Callithrix jacchus: one gene and its partners. The protein of the gene in region 1 purifies or fractionates together with the protein of each later gene. This does not show direct contact. Links are inferred from orthologs where the notes say so. Each region holds a gene or a part of one and is shown on either strand. Other genes may lie near its edges.

Region 1 (4,636 bases):
TTGGGTCTCCTCTGACAGTAGAAAGATTCAAACCACAGTCAATTCCAAGAACCCTTCTAAGAACAGAGACAGAGTCACTCAAACGATCTGATTTGCTATACCTAAATATAATTCATGCTGCTTTTCTCTATGATACACCATAATATTTTGTCCAAAAATCTTGAAACATGTTACTAACTTTGAAGAAAGACTAAAACCAGCCACTTTAGAGACTAGAGACACTCAAGCACTGATCTATTCATAAAGTTTCTACACAGCTGAAGAAGTTTGCACAAATAGACAAAAAATAGTACAGAAAACCTAAATACAGAAAAATTCAGAGAAAAAATCCATCTTTTAGAAAGCAGGTCAAATGGACTCAGTTAAAGACCTCACTGAATGTAGGAGAATCAATGGGAAACAATGTAAAGACTTCTGCTAGAACATTAATAGGAACCAGCCTATGTAATCAAGAAATTATTTTGCCTCCTGATCTAAATGCTTGCCTCCAGTCTAGGGCTCAGCAAAAGGCCTGGTTATTTGAACTGGTTGTCAATCAAGGTCCCCTTCATTTTCGCTTTCTTGGCTTCCAGTCCAGCCAGCTCTTGCAGTCGCATCTTGCTCATGCCTTTGCGCTCCAGCTGTTTTTCAATCACTTTGGCATTCTGTGCATAGGAGTCAGCAACTTCCCTAGCCTCAATCTCCTCTTCCTCTTCATCAATGGTAGACACAGTGACAGAAGTGAACTTGCCCATGTCTTTGGTCCATTTGGTCATCATCACCTTCTTAGGAGGCTCTTGTTTCTGAGTATATATGTTCGTTTTCCCAAAGGCCTGGCCAAACTTGACTACTGCTCCATCCACAATGAAGGTAACAGGAGCGTTATTCGGCTGGGATTGGTAGAAGAGCAGCAGTCCACACTTTGCACATTTCTTTCTGTGCTGTCGTTCAGTGCCTTCAGGTCTCCGCAGATACACAGTCTCCTGGTCTTCTGTGTTACAAAACTTACGGGCATGTTTGGCAGCATCAATCACACGGGACCGGTCCCGGGGCCTCATGGGCAGTTTCTCTAACTGACAGTCCAGCAGTAGGACCATCTGGCCGCACAAACAATAGTACACATGGAGGGGCTTCTCGCCATCATCATATTCCTCCCGGTTCCGAGTGTCAGAGCAGACTACTGACCGAGACACTACTTTCGGCATGGTTCCTAGGAGCCGCCCAAAAAAATTACGCATACAAGAGGGTCGCGCTGAAATGACGTCACGAGCGCGCCAGGCGTCTTTTCCCGGCGGCTACCTTAGTAATGTAACTAAATGGCCCTTATCCACATTTCCGTAACATATAAACATCAGTATTACTAAAACACCTTGCAAAGTATTCCACATTTTCCCAGTAAGCTACTAACCCAGGGCCACAGGTTTCCACCTTGACTGAGATATAATTTGGTCTGTTGAGTGACGTGTTAACTTATGGAGGACACGGGCCACTTTGGTTGATATGCTACTTAAAATATGAAATGTAATGTTTAGTTCTAGTTGTTATATTGGTTGACCCTTAGCAGGTGGAAGGTGCCGACTTTGGTGCTCACAGGCTTGTGACAGCACCTCCTATATGTAGAAACATTACTGTCCCTTGTTTACTGATAGTACTGTCTTAAAATCCTAACAAAGCCCAGCAATTAAACAAGCTTGTTATTTTGGCTACTAGCCAGTTTCCACGCGCCTCCGTTTTGGCATCAGTAAAAGGACAGAGACTTTCTCTTCCTCCGAGGCTCTTGTTTGGGCACGGGTGACCACAAAAGGACCACTTAAAGCAGATAGCAGCTGACAGTGAAGGAGAGATGCAGTGTACAAGTCCCAGTCTGGTTTCACTCGGTCTTTTTCTCTAAGCCCCTCCAGGATCCTACCGAGGATCTCATGGGCAGAGGCAGGAAGAGGATTCTAAAATCTGAGAAGCCCAGGCCAGAGAAGGCAGCTTTCGTGCTGCTGTTCTGAGACTGCAGCTGGAAAGGAAGGGAGAGGGGGTAGTCAGTTACAGCTATTCCTACATTTGTCTGTAAAACAACTCTTGTGAATTCCAGACAAAGAAATAAGGCCCAAAGCAAACAGCACATCAAAAGCCTGGGGTCACTTCCAGAACTGTAAATTTTAATTTTTCCCTTGTGTTGTTTGATGGAGTTCCTAATAGAAACAGTCTTCCTTGGGGGTCTCCTTGACATCAAAGTCTGTTTTTCTTTTAGAAACTTCTAAAATTACTAGATTTAATGTGCTCAGCTCTTTCCACAAAACCTAAATAGCCATTCCACCTTCCTTCGTTGTGGAAACTATGAATCTTCCTTCTCTTTTGCTGCTGTTGTCTAGGGAAAGGCTGCTGCCTCATGCAAGAAATGTTCTAGAATTGGTATCCTTTCTTTTTTTTTCAAGTTCATCCCTTGTAGGGCATGGTTAGTATTTTCAGCAACAAAGGTTGAGTTGTATCTTGAGGCACAGAAAGAGGATGCCCTGTCATTCGCTGTGTAGAGGGCTGTCTGTGCAGGCTACTCCAGAAGTTGGGCAGGGGGTCTTTAGACTTGTGGGCTTTGATAAGCACCCTCCCTTGGGAAGGTACATTCTTGAGCTGATGATTGAGTTTGTACTTTACCCTCATCATGCCCTCCCTCATTTAGAAAGTGTAACAACTCCTTTTCCTCTGTCTTTACTTTATTCCAGATCAGATTGATGAAAATCTCAAACTGGCTTTGCAACAGGACCTGACCTCCATGGCCCCTGGGCTGGTCATTCAAGTAAGCATTGCTGCATGGGGGCAGCCCCTCTCTCTCTGACACTGCGGTCCTTCTCCCAAGGGATGTTCTTTTTGTGCAGGAAGATCAAGACAGTGGGAGCTGTGTGTGTCCCTCACTACCCTCACTTTCCCATCAGCTGCTGTTTTAATCTCTCTCCAGGCTGTGCGGGTGACAAAGCCCAACATACCTGAGGCAATCCGCAGAAACTACGAGTTGATGTGAGTATACCCTCCGCCTGGACTGTGACCACCACTGCCTCCCACCTCCCACCTCATCCCATCCCAGAGGTAACCGAAGCTGCCTGGCTTCTCGGTTATCCCCTTGCTAGAGGATTTGCCACAGCCCACTGCACTGTAAGATTGGACAGATGTGTCAGGGCCATGACTGGGGCTCCCTACCTGTGATTAAGAACCCCAGGAGAAGCCCTATAAAGCAATAATGCTTTGAAAAGGGCCAGGGGGCCTTGTTTGTATTCAGTGACTCATGCCTAAGGGGAAGACAGAAGCAAGAGACCAGTAAGTGGACAGGCAGGTGTATTTTACTAAAGTAAATTACATTTTATTTCCCACAAATGAGTTATTTGGGAGAAGAGCTGTGTTACTGTCGGCAACAGATCAGCTTTTACCTAGGCCATGGAACAGCCTTCCAGGAGGAGTAGGAAATAGGAGTTTGCCTCTCTTCAGTAGAAGAGTTCAGCTTCTTCTGGGGACAATGATGTTCCTGAGTTTCTCATAGCAGCCTCACAGCTTTGTTTCCTCTTCAGGGAAAGTGAGAAGACAAAGCTGCTCATTGCAGCCCAGAAGCAGAAGGTGGTGGAGAAGGAAGCAGAGACAGAGCGGAAGAAGGCACTCATTGGTCTGAATGTGGTTCTGTGATCCCCCTTTCCAGGCAGAAGGGCCGGGGGTGGTGGGAAGATGCAAGGAGGCTGAGGCCTGCTGAGACCCCATGGTCCTCCAAATCACTTCCACAGCACAGGAATGGCAGGTGGACTCCCAGAAGCAAAGTTGAAATTGTCAGATCATGGCCAACGGGAATGAGTTTTGAGATTCCACTTACCTCTTAAATGAAAGGAGCCCTGCCTATTAATTCTTAACTCATAATAATAATGGCTAATACTTAATTGAGCCACATATTTTCCTAAGCACTTAATACGTGGGTTAACTCAACTGTCACAACCACTTTGTGGGGTAGGTACTGTATTATCCTTAATCTTATTTTATCGAACCAAAGGACAGAAGGGTAAAATACTGTGCCCAAGGGCATATGGCAATAAGGGATGGAACTGGGGCTCCAACCAAGGACACTTGCTCTAGAAGCTATGTTCTTAGTCACCGCACCGTATTATCAACAACAAACCTGATCCCTGTGTGCACTGAAGGGCCAGGTAGACCCCTACTAGAGTACTGCATTCTTTAGAATATTCCTTTGGGAGAAGTTCCCTTGTGAAGTTAGGGCTCATTCTTCCTATGTTGGGCCCAGGTCTCCTTGGTTACTGCCTTGTGCTGATGGAAGGGGACTCTGCTCACTGGCACATCCCACTCTGCCCGTGTGTGCCCTCACCGCCATCCTCTGGGGGCTTTTCAGCCGAGCTGACCCACCAGGACACTCAGCTTGGGGGAAAGGTGAAATCAGTCAAACTCTGAAATGCCAGAACTCTAAGTCTTTCCTCACTGTCATTTTTTCAGAGGCAGAAAAAGTGGCACAGGTGGCTGAGATCACCTACGGGCAGAAGGTGATGGAGAAGGAGACTGAGAAGAAGATTTCAGAAATTGAAGGTAAGCAGAAGCAACGCTTATGCCTGCGTTCTGAGACCCCGCCCTGTGGCCCGTGGGTGGGGGAGCTGTTGCCTTTGCCCTTTAACAGTGCTCTAGG
Region 2 (4,068 bases), about 6.0 Mb from region 1:
TCCAGCCAATTTATTTATTTTTTTGAGATGGAGTCTCACTCTGTCACCCAGGCTGGAGTGCAATGGCATGGTCTTGGCTGACTGCAACCTCTGCCTCCCGGGTTCAAGCGATTCTCCTGCCTCAGCCTCTGGAGTAGCTGGGACTACTGACACGTGTCACCATGCTCAGCTATTTTTTTGTATTTTAGTAGAGACGGGGTTTTTCTATGTTGGTGGCTGGTCTCAAACTCCTGACCTCGTGATCCGCCCATCTTGGCATCCCAAAGTGTTGGGATTACAGGCGTGAGCCACTGTGCCTGGCTGAATTACATATAATTTAAAACAATTTGTTGCATCGAATTGAATGTTGAATTTTTCTTTGTAAAACATCTCCATGACTAAATTTTCACTGCAGTCTGCCAATTAATTTATTTTCTTAATAGAAAAATAATTTTCAATGCTGGGCATGGCGGCTCACACCTGTAATCCCAGCACTTTGGAAGGCTGAGCCCAGGAGTTTGAGACTAGCCTGGACAACACAGCCAGACCATGTATCTACAAACTTTTTTTTTTTTATTAGCCAGGTGTGGTGGCACACACCTATAGTCCCAGCTACTTGGGAGGCTGAGGCCGGAGGATCACTTGAGCCCAGGAATTTGAGACTGCAGTGAGCTATGATTGTGCCACTGTACTCCAGCCTGGGCAACAGAGTGAGACTCCATCTGTCTCACTCCAACCCTGTCTCTGACCAACCAACCAACCAACAAACAAACAAACAAAAAAACCTAACAAAATTAATTAGAAATATGATGAGATATTAGATGTCCATTAATGATAACCAAAGCTATTGCAACCATTATACCAAATGCTCTTTCAGGAGTTCTGAAAGTAAACAAATGTTAAAGAAACAGAAAAATAACACCTTTAAATTTTTTAAGATATGTTGCTTTTATTCCAAAGAATAAAATGCTTGACAAACTCTTTAATCACAAGGATTGAACCAAACTACGTCTTCTACAACTCTGTGAGGTAGGTATCTGCACAGCCACAAGGGATCCACACGGTCCTTTCTTCCCTTTGAAACACTGAGAATTGTAGCAGTTGAAACCACTGTTCTAGTGGGCAGTTAGAACAGTTGTTTCCCTCATCTGGTTCCCCACAGAGCTGCCCAAGTTATTATTTGCTCCTGAGGTTGGACCATCTGTTTTATGACAGTTATGATATTGTTAAAAATCCGAATTGTTACTTTGATTTATATGATTTAACTCTGAATCACCTAAGTATTACTATGGTGTTCAAAACACTGATTGACTCTACTTGCTTTAAGAAGTCTCGGATCCCTTCTGAATTTATTATCAGAGATCAATAAAGATGACAATAAGCAGGTCTAAATTTCTGAGATGCTAGCATTTACCCTTTTCACAATTTAACAAGATTTAAGATCATTTAGTATTTTTTTATGTTATAAAATTTGGTACAATACACCTCTTTCAGGAAAGTCTTAGTAGTAACTCCAAATATTATAATTATTGTAACCAGAAATGTGACACTTGGAGCAGAACACATGCACACAAAATAAAATCCTGTCAAAAAATGACATCACCATCCCCCCACACCAAATGTATAATTGGTAGGAAATGCATTTCCAGTCTGGTACATGGCAGTTTGACAAACTCCTACTCATTTGCTTTTCAAGTTGGTGATTGCAGCTGATATGTTTTTCTGTGATGCATGCCACCCTGTTAGCTATTTGATTTGGAAGCGTAGAGTTAGGATTCATGCAGTCTTCAGGTGTCACCTCTACAAACCTTTCCTCTTACAAGTGCTTAAGCTGTCTTACTCTGATGGAAGTAATAAGGTAGCATGAAAGACTTCTAGAGAACCAGTTTCTCTCTTGCCGTTCCTCTTAACCTTCATGTCTATCTGAACATTCTGTGCAGGAGCCCTTCTAAGACATTTTGATTTAATGCCACTTGGATCAGTTATTTGTTGTGTGACTTCATTCAAAAACACTTTAATTGAAAGGGAAGGTAGTGCCCTGCATTCCTCACAAAATTGTCCAAAGGATAAAATGAAAAACGTGAGAAACTGCTTTAATTATAATGTGCTATGTTTAAGCATTATTGTCTTTCTCTATGACAAACAACAGCTCTGTCCTAGGTCCAAATTAGAAAAACACATATTGATATTTCATTCAGAATCTCATTAGTTGGTAGTTGATCTGATTTAACTAGAGAGAATGTGACAGATTTTGTCCTTGGCCCAGTCTGCATATAATTAGTCTCACTAATAAATTAATGGATTATTAATAGCAGTGATCTCAGATGACAATGCTAACATAGACTCCTGGGCATCCCTTCACATCCTGCCATCATACATTCACTAATGAGCAATGCCAGCCAAAGTGAGTCAGATCTCTCAATACTGTGTGGTATGGAGTCTTAAAATACATTCACTTGTTTGGCTCAAGACATGAATCTCTGCTGTGTGCTTCCATCTTGAGACAGTATTTTTTCTTTCTTTTTTTTTTGAGACGGAGTCTTGCTTTGTCTCCCAGGCTGGAGTGCAATGGTGCAATCTCGGCTCACTGCAACCTCTGCCTCCTGGTTGAAGGGATTCTCCTGCCTCAGCCTCCCTTGTAGATGGGATTACAGGCGCCTGCTACTGCACCCAGCTAATTTTTGTATTTTTTTACTAGAGATGGGGTTTTGCCATGTTGGCCAGCCTGGTCTTGAACTCCTGATCTCAAGTGATCCACCTGCCTCAGCCTCCCAAAGTGCTGGGGATTACAGGCGTGAGCCACCATGTTTATCCTTAAGACAGTATTATAAAAATTTCTGAAGGCGGGGAGGAAGGCAGCAGCAAATCACACTGCCACGTGTGTACCCATGCAACTATCTTGCATGTTCTTCACATGTATCCCAAAACCTAAAATGCAATTAAAAAAAAAGAAAAAAAATTTCTGACAACAGAAAACTAACCAAGTTTGTCGAATCTGTTGCTACAGTTAACCAGTAATTTCTGTTGTCAAATGTAAATACTGTTCCCTGTACCTTCCTATGGGCTTTGATGCCCAAAGACATGAAGATCCACGTTCTTCGGAAATGCATCAGGCTACTTTGTGTTTACAGCATCACCCAGGTTCCTAAAACAATCTCCCTTTATAAATTACTTTTATAGCTACTATTGAACTCTTGTTTAAATGTCGTAACTGTGAACATCAAGTGTGCTGACTGGAAATAAATGTTTTTCATCTTAATTCTATTGCTTAAAATGTGTTCTGTAAACTAGAATATGATACCGAAGTATGAAGTTCAAGTTTTTTCTTTCAGTTTCAGCTGATAACAAATAATTATACCAGAATGAAAAAGCAAAACTGCTCCAAATGCACAAAACTTAGCTAGCACTAAAAGAAATACTGAATTTTCCCCAATAGTGTATAATATTTTATTGTAACAAAAATATTTAGATGAATTTCACAGCTATATATTATCATATAGGTACCCGCTGAGAAGGATAAGGTAGATAAACTGTACATTTAACAACATTTTACTACACATCCAATTAATCTAAGTAATTTTGGGGAAAAAAAAAGATAAAAGGCTCCCTTTTTATGTAATTTCATATTTTTTCCAGACAACATAGAATCAAGATACAACTGTAGATAATTATAATTCTAAACTTAACATTAGAACCTGCAACATGTGAAAATTCCAGTTATATATTCCTAGGCATTTGTCAAATGATAATCAAATGTTTGTCTTATAGTGGTTTTATGTTTGTGAGATAATACTCCATTGCTTCATTGCTTTATACTGCCATGGGTCCTTCTGTTTGACGTTACACATTAGCTCAGATATCCTAGTAAACTTAGTTGTTTTTTTTTTTATTCATCTGGTTAGCCTTTGGGTTATCACTTCTCGATACATAATTGAGATGTAGATAAGCAATAAAAAGATGACAAAGAAATCATCTAGAAAGCCTAGAATTCCAAACAAGGCTTCAGGTACAAAATCTAGAGGGGATATAAGATAGAAAAAAGCTCCCATTAAACAAAGTATTATCCTGATGCGAAACATCCAGAAAAGG
Region 3 (4,145 bases), on another chromosome or scaffold:
CTCCCGCGGGCGGCTCCCTCCCCACGGCGAGCGCCGCTACGTCACAATCGCAGTGCGCAGCTAGTGCCTTGATCCCTCCGCCCGGCCTCTCAGGACGGCGGCCCGCTGCCCACCAGACTCGGCCCAGAACCCCAGTCTCAGCAGGAGGACATTTTAGGACGGGACCTGGGTGACTCTAGGGAACTGGTTTTCTTTCCAGAGAGCGGAACAGGCGGGGAAAAATAGTCCCTTCTCGGCGGTTCTGCGGAGGGATCTCCTCGGGGCGGTGTACGCCGATGACTATATAAGGACGCTCCGGGCGTGGTGCAGCTAGTTCCGTCGCAGCCGGGAGTGCAGTTGTGTTCGTGGTTTGTCCGTTGCTGTCATCGCCGCTTGGTGAGCAGTGGGGTTCTGGGCGGGCTGGGGCTTTCGGGGCCGAACGGCCGCGAGGTGGGATGGAGGCGGGTTGCCGCCCCGGGTCTAGAGACTGGGGAGGGCTGTCGGCTGTGTCCGCTAGAAAGGTGGGCTTGAGGTGGGGAGAACGCAGCAAAATGGCGGCTGTTCCGAGCGCTGCGTGGAAGACGCCTGTGAGGCGGGCCGTGAGGTCGTTGAAACAAGGTTGGGGGGCATGGACTCAAGGCTTGGAGGCCTTCGCTAATGCCGGAAAGCTCTGATTCTCGTGGGATGGGCTGGGGCACCATTGGGGGACCCTGACGTGAAGTTTGTGATTGACTGGAGAGCTCGTCTTGTCCGTTGCGGGGGTAGCGGTTACCGCGTGGCCGCGCGGCAATGGGGCGCGCTGTGGGGGGGGGAGAGCGCGCCTTCGCTCTGTGGTGACGTCACCCGTTCTCGTTCTGTCGGCTCATAATTGCGGGGCGGGGCCACCTGCCGGGAGGTGAGCGGTGGGCTCTTCTCCGTCGCAGGACGCAGGGTTGGGCCTAGGGTAGGACCTCCTGAATCGACAGGCGCCAGACCTCCCGAGAGGGAAGGGTAAGCGAGGCTTCAGTGTCTTCGGTCGGTTTTGTGTACCTACGGTTGTAAGGAGTTGAAGCCTGGGTTTTGAAAACAGGCTGGTGAGTGTGTTTTGTGAAGTAACGCAAGTTTTAATTGTTTGGGTCAATGTGACATTTAACTTACAGCATTAGGAAGGCTAATAAATTGCTAAATCCTGGTGGTTTTTGGCTTTTTGTCAAAACAGACAATGCAGATCTTCGTGAAGACCCTGACCGGCAAGACCATCACCCTTGAGGTCGAGCCCAGTGACACCATTGAGAACGTCAAGGCCAAGATCCAGGACAAGGAAGGCATCCCTCCTGACCAGCAGAGGTTGATCTTTGCCGGAAAGCAGCTGGAAGATGGGCGCACCCTGTCTGACTACAATATCCAGAAGGAGTCCACTCTGCACCTTGTCCTCCGTCTCCGAGGTGGCATGCAGATCTTCGTGAAGACCCTGACTGGTAAGACCATCACCCTTGAGGTCGAGCCCAGTGACACCATTGAGAATGTCAAGGCCAAGATCCAGGACAAGGAAGGCATCCCTCCTGACCAGCAGAGGTTGATCTTTGCCGGAAAGCAGCTGGAAGATGGGCGCACCCTGTCTGACTACAATATCCAGAAGGAGTCCACTCTGCACCTTGTCCTCCGTCTCCGAGGTGGCATGCAGATCTTCGTGAAGACCCTGACTGGTAAGACCATCACCCTTGAGGTCGAGCCCAGTGACACCATTGAGAATGTCAAGGCCAAGATCCAGGACAAGGAAGGCATCCCTCCTGACCAGCAGAGGTTGATCTTTGCCGGAAAGCAGCTGGAAGATGGGCGCACCCTGTCTGACTACAACATCCAGAAAGAGTCTACCCTTCATCTCGTCCTCCGTCTCCGAGGTGGCATGCAGATCTTCGTGAAGACCCTGACCGGCAAGACCATCACCCTTGAAGTCGAGCCCAGTGACACCATCGAGAACGTCAAGGCCAAGATCCAGGACAAGGAGGGCATCCCTCCTGACCAGCAGAGGTTGATCTTTGCCGGAAAGCAGCTGGAAGATGGGCGCACCCTGTCTGACTACAACATTCAGAAAGAGTCCACTCTGCACCTCGTCCTCCGTCTCAGAGGTGGCATGCAGATCTTCGTGAAGACCCTGACTGGTAAGACCATCACCCTTGAGGTCGAGCCCAGTGACACCATCGAGAATGTCAAGGCCAAGATCCAAGACAAGGAGGGTATCCCTCCTGACCAGCAGAGGTTGATCTTTGCTGGAAAGCAGCTGGAAGATGGGCGCACCCTGTCTGATTACAATATCCAGAAGGAGTCCACCCTTCACCTCGTTCTCCGTCTCCGAGGTGGCATGCAGATCTTCGTGAAGACCCTGACTGGTAAGACCATCACCCTTGAGGTCGAGCCCAGTGACACCATTGAGAACGTCAAGGCCAAGATCCAAGACAAGGAAGGTATCCCTCCTGACCAGCAGAGGTTGATCTTTGCCGGAAAGCAGCTGGAAGATGGGCGCACCCTGTCTGACTACAACATCCAGAAAGAGTCCACTCTGCACCTTGTCCTCCGTCTCAGAGGTGGCATGCAGATCTTCGTGAAGACCCTGACTGGTAAGACCATCACCCTTGAGGTCGAGCCCAGTGACACCATTGAGAACGTCAAGGCAAAGATCCAGGACAAGGAGGGAATCCCTCCTGACCAGCAGAGGTTGATCTTTGCCGGAAAGCAGCTGGAAGATGGGCGCACCCTGTCTGACTACAACATCCAGAAAGAGTCTACCCTTCATCTCGTTCTCCGTCTCCGAGGTGGCATGCAGATCTTCGTGAAGACCCTGACCGGTAAGACCATCACCCTTGAGGTCGAGCCCAGTGACACCATTGAGAACGTCAAGGCAAAGATCCAAGACAAGGAAGGCATCCCTCCTGACCAGCAGAGGTTGATCTTTGCCGGAAAGCAGCTGGAAGATGGGCGCACCCTCTCTGATTACAATATCCAGAAAGAGTCCACTCTGCACTTGGTCCTGCGCTTGAGGGGGGGTGTTTAAGTTTCCCCTTTAAGGTTTCAACAAATCTCATTGCACTTTTCTTTCAATAAAGTTGTTGCATTCCCAATTGGTGTGGGTTTTTTTTTAAGTTAAGGTATTTTTGCATTAGATAGGGTGAAGGGGATCAAGGTTTCCAGTCCGCAAATGTTACCGTGGTAACCATGAAATGTCAGTGAATGGGGGGAGGTAGATTTACAATATGAACTGTAGAAAGTGGGTGCAAATAAAACGCAGGTTCAAGACCAGCTTGGCCAACATGGTGAAACCCCAGCTCTACTGAAAATACAAAAAGGTGTGGCAGGTGCTTGTAATCCCAGCTACACCGGAGGCTGAGGCAGGAGAATCCCTTGAACCCAGGAGGCAGAGGTTGGCAGTGATTTGAGATCGCAGCACGGTACTTCCACCTGGGGGAACAGAGCAAGACTGTCGTAATCAGGTTATTGGGAGATACTTTTTCAAGTTACTTAAAAATACTGGTTGGGGGTGTGTGAGGTAACAGGAAGGGAGAAGGAATATTAAAAGGTGGGAGTGATGAGAGGGTCCCTGTGAAAGAATGAAGTACATAGGCCTAGTAAATGTATGTTGAGCTGCACACACAGTCCTGGGATCAAGTGATTTTAAAAGGACGTTGCAGGTGGAAAAAGGCATAGTTGTCATGGTGTAGAATTAGTGTTTAGAGAATAAAAGCTATTCAAGCAGTTTTTTGCTGAAATTGTCAAGTAAGGTGGACAGGCATGTAACTAGTAGGTGAAGCAATTGACTTCTTGGTTTGTCTCAAGTGTATAGTAGCATTCACCCAATCAGACGGTACTAGTAAGGTGTTCATGTTGACTAGCACCAAAGGTGGAAGTTGCAGAGAAACTGGTTTAATACAAGGGATGGACACCAGGCAGTAGGCATCCCAGAGGTCATCCAGAGGCTCATTAGAGGCCTTGGAAGGTTTGTCCCAAGGAGCGTCCCTCCTCTCCAAGTTTTAGGGGATTCATGAACAACATCTCCGGAAGAATTTCATGTTGGCTCCAGCAATTGTAAAGCACCTGAAGGTGGCTTAAATCAGTTTTAGCTTTAGTTTTAGGGCTAATGGACTAAAATTTGAGAAATCCGCAAATCCATCGAGTTTTCATTGTGAATACAT

What was found.
Region 2: the proteins of ERLIN2 (region 1) and RNF170 purify together in Homo sapiens (affinity purification with mass spectrometry; 4 studies listed by BioGRID and IntAct, counting the BioPlex papers as one, with this or other methods). This does not show direct contact. The link is inferred for Callithrix jacchus from reciprocal best matches to the Homo sapiens genes ERLIN2 and RNF170.
Region 3: the proteins of ERLIN2 (region 1) and UBC purify together in Homo sapiens (affinity purification with mass spectrometry; 3 studies listed by BioGRID). This does not show direct contact. The link is inferred for Callithrix jacchus from reciprocal best matches to the Homo sapiens genes ERLIN2 and UBC.

Annotation. Positions count from the first base shown.
Region 1 is NC_133514.1:38,643,733-38,648,368, forward strand, and holds part of ERLIN2 (erlin-2), read left to right. Parts: exon of another isoform or gene 1-1,213; intron 1,214-2,690; coding exon 2,691-2,764; intron 2,765-2,923; coding exon 2,924-2,982; intron 2,983-3,527; coding exon 3,528-3,619; intron 3,620-4,449; coding exon 4,450-4,539; intron 4,540-4,636. UniProt on the Homo sapiens protein: Component of the ERLIN1/ERLIN2 complex which mediates the endoplasmic reticulum-associated degradation (ERAD) of inositol 1,4,5-trisphosphate receptors (IP3Rs) such as ITPR1.
Region 2 is NC_133514.1:44,622,397-44,626,464, forward strand, and holds the end of RNF170 (E3 ubiquitin-protein ligase RNF170), read right to left. Parts: coding exon 3,870-4,068; 3' UTR 909-3,869; downstream 1-908. UniProt on the Homo sapiens protein: E3 ubiquitin-protein ligase that plays an essential role in stimulus-induced inositol 1,4,5-trisphosphate receptor type 1 (ITPR1) ubiquitination and degradation via the endoplasmic reticulum-associated degradation (ERAD) pathway.
Region 3 is NC_133510.1:128,100,268-128,104,412, reverse strand, and holds UBC (polyubiquitin-C), read left to right. Parts: upstream 1-1,165; 5' UTR 1,166-1,180; coding exon 1,181-3,010; 3' UTR 3,011-3,077; downstream 3,078-4,145.